2 linked regions of the Saccharomyces cerevisiae S288C genome follow. The protein of the gene in region 1 binds, or shares a complex with, the protein of each later gene. Each region holds a gene or a part of one and is shown on either strand. Other genes may lie near its edges.

What was found.
Region 2: GPI19 (region 1) and ERI1 share a complex: the UniProt entries of both Saccharomyces cerevisiae proteins name them as parts of the phosphatidylinositol N-acetylglucosaminyltransferase (GPI-GlcNAc transferase) complex.

Annotation. Positions count from the first base shown.
Region 1 is NC_001136.10:1,334,507-1,339,544, forward strand, and holds GPI19 (phosphatidylinositol N-acetylglucosaminyltransferase GPI19), read left to right. Parts: upstream 1-2,845; coding exon 2,846-3,268; downstream 3,269-5,038. Other genes in the region: PPZ2 (salt homeostasis regulator), read left to right, coding at 315-2,447; THI74 (Thi74p), read left to right, coding at 3,768-4,880. UniProt on the Saccharomyces cerevisiae protein: Part of the complex catalyzing the transfer of N-acetylglucosamine from UDP-N-acetylglucosamine to phosphatidylinositol, the first step of GPI biosynthesis. Involved in cell wall biosynthesis.
Region 2 is NC_001148.4:364,202-371,198, reverse strand, and holds ERI1 (Eri1p), read left to right. Parts: upstream 1-4,463; coding exon 4,464-4,670; downstream 4,671-6,997. Other genes in the region: putative GTPase NOG1, read right to left, coding at 1-221; Sec63 complex subunit SEC62, read left to right, coding at 536-1,360; EEB1 (medium-chain fatty acid ethyl ester synthase/esterase), read left to right, coding at 1,758-3,128; PNG1 (peptide-N4-(N-acetyl-beta-glucosaminyl)asparagine amidase), read right to left, coding at 3,181-4,272; tyrosine--tRNA ligase MSY1, read right to left, coding at 4,769-6,247; MGR2 (Mgr2p), read left to right, coding at 6,472-6,813. UniProt on the Saccharomyces cerevisiae protein: Probable component of the GPI-GlcNAc transferase (GPI-GnT) complex in the endoplasmic reticulum, a complex that catalyzes transfer of GlcNAc from UDP-GlcNAc to an acceptor phosphatidylinositol, the first step in the production of GPI-anchors for cell surface proteins.

The sequences.
Region 1 (5,038 bases):
ACAGAAGAAGGCGGTCCCTTCTTGGAAGAGAGAAATTGTTTACATAACTATATAGTATCTCACAGATACAAGCATACGGTAGCCATAATATACTTCGCAAACCGTACCTTTTTGCGTAAGAAATACACATATAGTAGGTTTTGTCGCCTCCTCTTCCCCCTTTGTCTCAGCATAGCATTAACATAGGTGCCTCAGAGTGACAAAGAGAGAAATAGTTAACTAGAATACGGTGCAAATTCAGAGAAAAAATATCAGATTCTATTCTATTTACCCCCCCTATAACTGCAGAATCGTACATTTGATCAGCAAGTACCATGGGTAATTCCGGTTCGAAACAACATACCAAGCACAATAGCAAGAAGGATGACCACGACGGTGACAGGAAAAAGACACTAGATCTCCCACCACTGACAAAATCGGATACTACACATTCGCTGAAATCGTCAAGGTCGCTGAGGTCGCTGCGGTCGAAACGCTCAGAGGCGTCGTTGGCATCTAATGTTCAAGCTCAAACGCAACCCCTCTCCCGCAGATCGTCCACTCTGGGAAACGGCAATCGCAACCATAGGCGATCAAACAACGCCCCAATCACTCCTCCTAATAACCACTACCTAACCTCACATCCCAGTTCGTCAAGAAGACTCTCTTCCTCTTCGAGAAGGTCGAGCATGGGGAATAATAACAATTCAGAATTGCCCCCGTCAATGATCCAGATGGAGCCCAAATCACCCATCTTGAAAAATAGTACAAGCATGCATTCCACTAGCTCTTTCAACTCTTACGAAAATGCGTTGACTGATGATGACGACGATAGGGGGGATGATGGCGGCGAGAGCCCCTCAATGGCCAAAGTTACTCGCATCAACACTAGTTCTTCCGCAGATAGAGGCTCCAAGCGTACTCCTTTAAGACGTCATAATTCATTACAACCGGAAAAAGGTGTAACAGGATTTTCCTCGACTTCATCGAAATTACGCAGAAGATCAGACAATACTCTGCCAGCAAGTTATCCTTTAAATGCAGAAGCAGGAGGGAATGGCAGCGACTATTTCTCAAACAGATCAAACTCGCATGCATCATCCAGGAAGTCGTCATTTGGCTCCACTGGGAATACAGCTTATAGCACACCACTGCATTCACCTGCGTTAAGAAAAATGAGCTCGAGGGACAACGACGATAGCGGAGACAACGTCAACGGTAGAGGCACCTCACCTATCCCTAATCTAAACATAGACAAGCCTTCGCCGTCAGCGTCGTCAGCGTCAAAAAGAGAATATTTAAGTGCATATCCAACACTAGCTCACAGAGATTCATCATCTTCACTTAGTCCGCGGGGCAAAGGACAACGGTCTTCATCGTCTTCCAGTTCCAGTCAAAGAATATATGTTTCCCCACCATCTCCCACAGGTGATTTCGTACACGGGAGTTGTGCAGACGGTGATAATGGATCTAGGACTAATACTATGGTCGAAATGAAAAGGAAAAAACCAGTTCGTCCAGTGGACATAGATGAAATTATCCAGAGATTACTAGATGCCGGCTATGCCGCAAAGAGGACCAAGAATGTTTGCTTAAAGAATTCCGAGATTATTCAAATTTGCCATAAGGCTCGTGAATTATTCCTTGCCCAACCTGCTCTCTTAGAATTATCTCCCTCGGTAAAAATAGTGGGTGATGTTCACGGCCAATATGCAGATCTTTTGAGACTTTTTACCAAATGCGGTTTCCCCCCCATGGCAAATTACTTATTTTTAGGCGATTACGTAGATCGCGGTAAGCAGTCCCTGGAGACCATTTTACTATTACTATGCTATAAGATTAAATATCCTGAAAATTTCTTCCTCTTAAGAGGCAATCATGAATGTGCCAATGTTACAAGAGTCTACGGGTTTTATGATGAATGTAAACGACGTTGTAATATCAAGATTTGGAAAACCTTTGTTGACACGTTCAACACGCTACCGTTAGCAGCCATCGTCACAGGAAAAATATTTTGTGTTCATGGTGGACTATCACCTGTTCTAAATTCCATGGACGAAATTAGGCACGTTAGTAGGCCCACCGATGTACCCGACTTCGGCTTAATTAATGACCTTTTATGGTCGGATCCTACAGATTCATCGAATGAATGGGAGGATAATGAGCGTGGAGTTAGTTTTTGTTACAATAAAGTGGCTATTAATAAATTTTTAAACAAATTCGGATTCGATTTAGTGTGTAGAGCACATATGGTGGTGGAAGATGGTTATGAATTCTTTAATGACAGAAGCTTAGTTACAGTGTTTTCGGCTCCCAACTATTGTGGTGAATTCGATAACTGGGGTGCTGTCATGACCGTTAGTGAAGGCCTACTCTGTTCTTTTGAGTTGTTGGACCCACTGGACAGTACCGCTTTGAAACAAGTGATGAAAAAAGGCAGGCAAGAACGTAAATTAGCCAATCGCTGAAAAACTAGATATTAATGTTGCAGTTAATAAGCTCATTGAAAACTTTCTTTGGTTGTTCCTCTTCCTTCTTTTTTTCGCCGATAAAGTTGTCGTTATAGTTTCACTTATATCTTACGAGAATCTAAATAAGTAAATATTAATATTATTCAATTTCTCATTTCCTTTCCTCTGGGTTTTTTGAGAGTACGAGTTTTATTGCTCGCTTTTTGTATTTTCACTTTGCCGGCTTTTTCACTATTCCCTATTGTCTTAATAAAGTTCCTGCTTGGGCCCAGTAAACTTTTAAAATTTATGTGCTGAAAGAAAGTTGAAACAATCACAAGAGGAGAGCAGATTTGCCAAAAAAAGAATCTGAGCTGTTTGTTCCTGTCTAATACTAAAAGATATAAATAAACAATATGTATACAAAAGAGTACTACTGGTTTTCACAATATATGATAATAACAAGCACTTTGGTGCTCACCATAATATGGTCCATCTTACCATCATCGCTGGGTGAGGCTGCACCAAAGCAGTTTATCAACACGCTATTGGACATCTTCCCACAAAGAAGATGGATTATTACCTTGGAGAGCATAATGCTGATGGGCATGCTATGCACATACATCGGCCTTCTGATGTACAATGAAGATACATTAACACCGCCGCTAGATTCTCTATCTACAGTAACGGATGCCGGTGGTCAACTTGTAATAGAGGACGACCCGGACGTATTCGTTAAGAAATGGGCCTTTAAAGAAACAAGTGGTATTTACGATCTGTCTCTGATGGATGCCTGCCAACTTCTCTACCTATATGATAACGACCATACCAGCACATAGCTTTTCTCAGCACCTGTCCAGAGACATAACATCACAATCACATCGCCCCAGTAAATGCATACGCAAGATAAGATACAAACTGGCTACGGGAACACTACGCCAACGTGATTGGCAATTGTGCTCTAATAGTTACTCTATTATTGCTGTTAATTGACAATGTTTAGTCACGTGCAACACAATTCAAGTCACGTGGAAAGGCCTTCACATGGTGATCCATCTTCTACATCTTCATCGGTCCTGCATAAAGTCATAATATGGGGCTACTGGAATGTATGCACTTAACAGTACTATTATATGGTGAGGCTGTAATGCTTACCGTTTTGTGGCTATTCTCGTATTCTGTAGGCCCCCCCATACACATTTTTCGGTAACTGCGGCATATAGATGAAAGTTGAAATGAATATTCAAAAGAATATATATAATAATGCAGGAGATCAAGGAAGAATTAGATATGTATAAGAGTGATGGTAGAGGCAAAAAATAAAAAGTAAGCAGGAGAATGAATCGTGTTGGTATAGACGTAGATCATATGATAGGGGTCCTGCTTCTGGCCGTAGTGGTGGTGTTTTGGGTTGGCGCTTCGTGTTTGACTAATGAATTGCTCGAGACAAACGCGTACAATAAACCTTTCTTCCTTACTTATCTAAACATATCATCGTTTGCTCTTTATTTGACGCCAGATCTATGGAGGATAATCCAATCAAGAAGGAAGAGCTTGCAGGAACGGACAGAACGAACATTACCTATTCACACACAAGAATCTTTTTCAGAGTTCCTACCTTTACTATCTTCAACTCCTTCTACTTCTTCAAATTTGTCTTCGATAGCGGACACGAAAGTGAAGGATACAATGAGGTTGAGTCTGCTATTTTGCGTCTTGTGGTTCGTGGCAAATTTGGCGGCTAACGCTGCTTTGTCGTATACCACAGTGGCTTCGTCAACAATTCTTTCATCGACATCCTCATTTTTTACCTTATTTCTTGCCACTAGTCTAGGAATAGAAACTTTTTCGACAAAAAAACTGCTGGGGTTATTTGTGTCTTTGTTTGGAATTATCTTAATTGTGATGCAATCCTCGAAGCAACAGGATTCTGTGAGTGCTTCCTCCTTTTTGGTAGGTAACACTTTAGCACTGCTGGGGTCATTGGGTTACAGTGTCTATACAACCCTTTTGAAATACGAAATATCATCCAAAGGTCTCAGACTAGACATTCAGATGTTTCTTGGTTATGTTGGTATCTTCACGTTTCTGTTGTTTTGGCCAATTTTAATAATCCTGGATATAACACATATGGAAACTTTTGAACTACCAAGTAACTTCCACATTTCTTTTCTTGTCATGTTAAATTGTATCATTATCTTTGTTAGTGACTATTTTTGGTGTAAAGCCCTCATTTTGACATCACCCTTGGTGGTTACCGTTGCCTTAACTTTTACTATCCCGTTAGCCATGTTCGCTGATTTTGTATGGCGAGAGGCATTTTTTACGCCTTGGTATATCATTGGTGTTATTTTCATTTTTGTTTCATTCTTTCTAGTTAACCATCGGGGAGAATCTGCTGTTGAAAAGGACTGTGCTGCGGTTGAAAAAGGACCTATCTTGGATGCCTAACGTGATTATTTCTTCTTTTTATGCAATTTTTCACATAATATAATTATATGTCTCCCATTTTTATATATTCAAAAGTTAATGTCTATAAATGCCCTATCTGACTTATTGTCTTATTTTTTTGCATGGTATGTATATCTTAGAAGCTTTTGAAAGGAAAA
Region 2 (6,997 bases), on another chromosome or scaffold:
ACGTCATTGATGTTAGGAAAACCCTTTAAAATGTCCTCAAATTTTTCCACGAAACCTTCACCTGTGTATTTAACTTTACGCATATAGAACGCTCTGATTCTTGTAATCTTGAAACCAGGTCTGATCACAGTTGGTGTCTTTCTCTGGGTTCTGTTCAAGACAATATCCAGCAAATCATTTGCTGGAGCGACAGTAGGGATATCCTTCCATGAAAGTTGCATCTTCGGTATAGGAGGGAGATGTGTTTGCTTTTGGAGGGTACACTTACTTTTTTATAAACGCTGCAACTCCTAAATCTGAAGTGTATTCTTTATATTGTATTAGATGAGGTAGTACATAGGTGAAAATTTTTCTTTGCGATGAGCTGCGGAAAAAACTTTTCGTTCAGTTGAAAAAAAAAAAGAAAGTGAAGATCGTGTGCGACGGAATAGACGTGTCGTTTTCCCAATACTGGCATACAAATCAAGAGGGAGAAGAGTGGGCTTTTATAATTGCAGTTGAATGCAGTATGGTAGCCGAGCAAACACAGGAGAACATGTCAGCCGTAGGTCCAGGTAGCAATGCAGGTGCTAGTGTCAATGGCGGATCTGCTACAGCCATTGCTACTCTTTTACGCAACCATAAGGAGTTGAAGCAAAGGCAGGGTTTATTCCAGGCCAAGCAGACAGACTTCTTCCGTTACAAGAGATTTGTTAGGGCACTGCATTCTGAGGAGTATGCCAACAAATCTGCAAGACAGCCAGAGATATATCCAACTATACCTTCTAACAAGATCGAAGACCAGCTTAAGTCACGTGAAATCTTTATTCAACTTATAAAGGCACAAATGGTGATCCCAGTGAAAAAATTGCATAGTCAAGAATGCAAAGAGCATGGATTGAAGCCAAGCAAGGACTTTCCGCACTTGATTGTTTCGAATAAAGCACAATTGGAAGCCGATGAATACTTTGTTTGGAACTATAACCCTAGAACCTACATGGATTACTTGATCGTCATTGGTGTCGTGTCCATCATATTGGCGCTCGTATGCTACCCATTGTGGCCGCGCTCCATGAGACGCGGCTCCTATTATGTGTCTCTGGGTGCCTTCGGCATCTTAGCAGGCTTCTTTGCTGTCGCTATCCTGAGATTGATATTATATGTTTTGTCATTAATTGTCTACAAAGATGTTGGTGGGTTCTGGATCTTTCCCAACCTGTTCGAAGATTGCGGTGTACTAGAGAGTTTTAAGCCACTTTACGGTTTTGGTGAGAAGGATACTTATAGTTACAAAAAGAAACTGAAAAGAATGAAGAAGAAACAAGCCAAGAGAGAAAGCAATAAGAAGAAAGCCATCAATGAAAAAGCCGAACAAAACTGAACTTCCATTATCCTGTATAGCTCTACTGTATAAACCTTCTATATTGTAACCTCATGAACTCGCACATGTACAAACCTTCAAGAGAACCGGCACCAAAGCGCTACCATCTGGTTGCTTCATCGCTTATAGTGAGTAGTTTTAGATTTGAAGGTTATCGCTCCTGGCAAAAATCTGAATCCACACACCGCATAATTAGCGGTTATTATTACTCAATTTCCGGCCGGCTTTAATATACTTTCACCGAAAGGTCTCTATATAGAAGCTATTTGCTGACACTTGCTTACAGGAATCGATTATATAAGAAGGGTTCTGCATCTGGTTGCCTACTTAGTTTTCGGTATTTTTGAAGATTAGCAAAAAGATCAAGATATCAAGTATTTTCATATTTGTCATTTTAATGTTTCGCTCGGGTTACTATCCAACTGTCACTCCTAGCCATTGGGGCTATAACGGCACCGTCAAACATGTACTGGGAGAGAAAGGAACCAAGTCTTTGGCTTTCAGAGATTCTAAGCGCCAAATTCCTCTTCATGAATTCGTAACCAAACACGTGCCTACACTCAAAGATGGTGCAAATTTTAGGTTAAACAGCTTGCTTTTCACAGGTTACTTACAGACCCTTTATTTGTCAGCCGGTGATTTTTCCAAAAAATTTCAGGTATTTTATGGAAGAGAGATTATAAAATTTTCTGATGGAGGGGTCTGCACTGCAGATTGGGTTATGCCTGAATGGGAGCAAACATATTCATTAAATGCTGAAAAGGCTAGTTTTAACGAGAAACAATTTTCGAACGATGAAAAGGCCACCCATCCAAAGGGTTGGCCTCGTCTTCACCCGAGAACTAGATATCTATCCTCTGAGGAACTTGAAAAATGTCATTCTAAGGGTTATTCTTACCCTTTAGTGGTAGTACTTCATGGTCTTGCAGGGGGAAGCCATGAGCCTCTCATCAGGGCATTATCTGAAGATCTATCAAAAGTCGGTGACGGTAAATTCCAAGTGGTAGTCCTTAATGCTAGAGGTTGCTCAAGATCTAAAGTCACCACCCGTAGAATCTTTACCGCATTACACACAGGTGATGTGAGAGAATTTTTGAACCACCAAAAAGCTCTATTTCCGCAAAGAAAAATATATGCAGTCGGAACATCATTTGGAGCAGCCATGCTAACGAACTACTTAGGTGAAGAAGGAGATAACTGTCCATTAAATGCTGCAGTCGCTCTCTCAAACCCATGGGATTTCGTACACACTTGGGACAAGTTGGCTCATGATTGGTGGTCCAACCATATTTTTTCTAGAACTTTAACACAATTTCTAACAAGGACTGTCAAGGTTAATATGAATGAGTTGCAGGTACCAGAGAATTTTGAGGTTTCGCACAAACCGACAGTTGAGAAACCAGTCTTTTATACGTATACCAGAGAAAATTTGGAAAAGGCTGAAAAATTTACAGACATATTAGAATTCGATAATCTTTTCACTGCCCCATCGATGGGCCTGCCGGACGGGTTAACATATTATAGAAAGGCCAGTTCGATAAATAGATTGCCTAATATCAAAATCCCAACTTTAATAATCAACGCAACGGATGATCCAGTTACAGGTGAAAACGTAATTCCGTACAAACAAGCTAGAGAAAATCCTTGTGTGTTGTTATGCGAGACTGACTTGGGTGGACATTTGGCTTATCTCGACAATGAAAGTAATTCCTGGTTAACAAAGCAAGCTGCCGAGTTCTTGGGCAGCTTTGATGAGTTAGTTTTATAAATATGTTCTTAGATAAAATTCCTTACACATAATAATCTGTTCTTTTATTTCTCTATTTACCATCCTCCCCACGCTGTGCTTTCCAATCCGCCGATCCACTTTCTCTACCACGATTAGATGATTTCGAAGCGGCACTGACGCTTTCGGATTTCGTTTCTTGTGTCTTTCCTCTAATCAGCTCTATCTGTTCCTGCTCATCGCGACATGCAAGTTGGTATATCTCGTCATCATTTAACGAATACCTCAACCTCTTCGTTATAAATTGACAAAGGAATTTTAAATCTTCTTCCTTGATTTGATCTCTGGGCAGCTCGTTTTGGAGGATATAGCGTTTACTAACGTCAACAACGCCATCTTTACCGAACGCAATACAGTAACTCATTTTCTTGTTCCAGTTAATTGAATAGATATATGGTTGGTCGAATGATTGCTCACAGGAGTCGACATGAACCCACCTATTCAAAAAATTTGAAAAATATTCACACCAAACATGATCTTCTCTATTCCAGACGTAGCGAACATCTAACCCAAACGACTTCAAAATCAAAGTAAATAAATTGCACCATTCACCGCATCTTCCCTTTCTAGTTTCCAGCAACTTAATTGGATCGTTATAACGAGGAAATCTAGTGATATTTCCGCATCGGTTGCATTTATAGATCTCAACAGTTCCGCAATTGAATTTAGATTCCTCTCCATTGGGCCCTTGACTGCCCAGAGGTGTCATATTTTCTGAAGTGTTCTGGCCACAATGATTACAATCTGGTTTATTGCACCATTTGAAAAAATCTTGTTTGAAGTAGCGAAGCAGCTCCTTTACTAGATAATCCGTGTATATATTTTCCCCCTCTGCATGCCCATCTTTGGCAAATTCCTTATCAACATTTTTATATATTAGATCCAGATCCAATGTCTCCAGGACTATAGAATGCCATGAAGGATTGTCATAGACTGTACAGAGATGTTGACTCTGACCTAGGACTCCTTGTGCGAATTGATTTGTATGGACTAAATTCTGAAACCTTATATTCTCTACAGGTGCAGCTTTCTTGAATTTAGACAGTATGAAATCCTTATACTTAATTAACAACATTTTGGCTATTGAATCAAAATCTATGTTATTTTTTTCGTATACCTCTCCCATTGCTACTCCACCTGTTACCTTCTTCAGGTTGTTTTACGTCTTCTATATCTGTTCCCAACGCATCCTTTTTTCTTCGCTACAATACAAGGAAGATTACACTACGCAAAGTTTCGAAAACATCAAGAAGCATAGAACAGTTGAAACTAGGCAACAGGACTGTTTCAATTACATGATTGAGAATTTATAAGCGCATGAGACCACGTGACCAAGGCTTTTTGGTTTTAGGGTTTACTTACTCGGTACTCCTAATTAGTCTTGCTACATTTTACTGGTTACGCAACAATGACTCTTTCCTGCACTACTGGTGTGTATTACTGCTATGCCCTGCGACTCTCTGGCTGTGGGCCCTCATAGCCTGGTGTGACAGTGAAATGTTCGCAAGTAGTAAAGATGAATAATCGTTTATAATCTTATTTACAAGTCAGTGCATAAAATGATATAATATCACCTCACGCATGCCTATTTTATACATGTACTTTATATACCTCCCTTTTTTTTAACGCATTTCTATTATAAAACACTTCTGCTTTCCTATCCTCAAGATCAGTACTCGATCATCTATCAGGAAAGGAGCCAAGTTAGAAATATTTTCGTTTACTTTAGATTTTGAATGATGCAGATACACGCTTCCCTGGGAAAGTTTTCTTCTGGCTTCTGATACTGAACAATTTACTAGTTTACAAATTAACTTTATTAAGTCAATCTCTCTATCAGCATACTGCAAAATTCTGGCTTTTTTACATAGATCAACTAACTTCGCAGCAGATAAAGTTCCGTCATAACGTCCAAAAATAATATTAGAAAGCGCTTCTGAATCCGATCCGGAGCCAACTCCATATAACATATCTGTGACTTCTTTAGCCAATAAAGTTTGGCCATAACGTAGACTGGGTGATTTGATATGCGTTTCCACAATTTTTTTGATTTCACTTGAGTTTAAAAACGTAAAGATCTTCAAGAACTTGGGTACATCAGCATCCAAAGTATTATAAAAGAACTGGTAAACATCATACGCCGTATTGATTGAGGGGTCAATAAAAACAGCATTGCCTGCACTTTTCCCAAATTTCTCTCCTGTAGCCGTCGTCAACAAGGGCACAGTGATACCAAATGGCAAACCCTTATTCTTTATAGGCTGTATCCTATTGATGAGATCGATACCGGCTGTTATATTTCCCCATTGGTCGTTACCACCTACTTGTATAGTCACATTCTCTTCCTTATACAAATGGTAAAAATCGTACGCTTGTAAAACTTGGTAAGTAAATTCGTTAAATCCCAGACCATTTTTGGTTTGAAGCCTCGAAGAAATTGAATCCCTCGCCAACATAGATTGTACCCGAATGTGCCTACCAAAATCAGCTAAGAAATCCAACATTTTGATGTCTTTCCACCAGTTGAAATTATTCCTTGGTGTATATTTTCCGGAAGGTACATCTTCAGTGAGAGCACATCGGTTTCTGTAATATTCTAGGCCATTTTTGAAAAACCTTTGTAATTGCTGCGAGATGGATGCCACATTGCTTTGCCTAATATCGTTCTCCATAACGTCTCTTTCTGTTTTCCTACCACTTGGGTCCCCAACTTTCCCTGTAGCTCCACCTATCACAGTGACAATGTCGTGACCTTTTACGTAAAAGTGTAATAAAACCATTAGTGGAACTAGATTTCCCAAATGAAGTGACTGAGCTGTGGGATCCACCCCGCAGTATAATTTGATCTTATCGTTACCGTTCAACTTCGTCCGAAGGAAACTCTCTGGCTGTGAGACCTGGGACACTAGACCCCTTTGTTTGAGTTCGTCTAAAATATTATCGCTTCGAGAATCCGATGTGCCCTGTACTTCTAAAGCACTAGGCTGTGAATAAAATCGAGATTTAGGCAATGTTATTGCACTTAGTCCGGAATAAGTCACCAGAGGCACAAGTCTCCTACTACTATTGACCAAATTACTACAACTTCGTAATTCGAGCATGATTCACAATGTCTACCTGTAGATTGCTGTGTTCAATCGGAAACTGGAAATTCTTTCTTAACATTATGAGCCAACCACTTTTTATTTTCTTTTCAAAACTCCCGAACAAGACCAACATTACCAAACAGACTCCACTACTTTTCCATAAGAAGGAAGCACAGAACACCACACAAGATCATATAGCACAAATAGCGCAACAGCTTCAAGTCCAATATTAAGATATAATGCCTCCTCTTCCACAAAATTATGCGCAACAGCAGCCTTCGAATTGGGACAAATTCAAAATGGGGTTGATGATGGGTACTACCGTCGGTGTCTGCACAGGCATCCTATTTGGTGGATTTGCCATCGCAACTCAAGGCCCAGGTCCTGATGGTGTAGTTAGAACACTAGGGAAATACATTGCTGGTTCAGCGGGTACCTTTGGGCTATTTATGTCCATCGGGTCTATAATCAGAAGTGATAGTGAAAGTAGTCCAATGTCCCATCCTAACCTGAACCTACAGCAACAGGCAAGACTGGAAATGTGGAAGCTTCGTGCCAAATACGGTATACGTAAGGACTGAGGGGGAAATTTTGCATATATTTACGCTTCCCCATCGTTTTCTTAAACATTGTTACTTATCTGCTTATTTTTATTTAAGATATCTATCTACCTGTTTATAACTCTCTCAATACCATGTATTTAAGTTCATCACGACGAGGCTTATTTACTTAATATATTTGTATACGTGGGAAATGTCTAATATG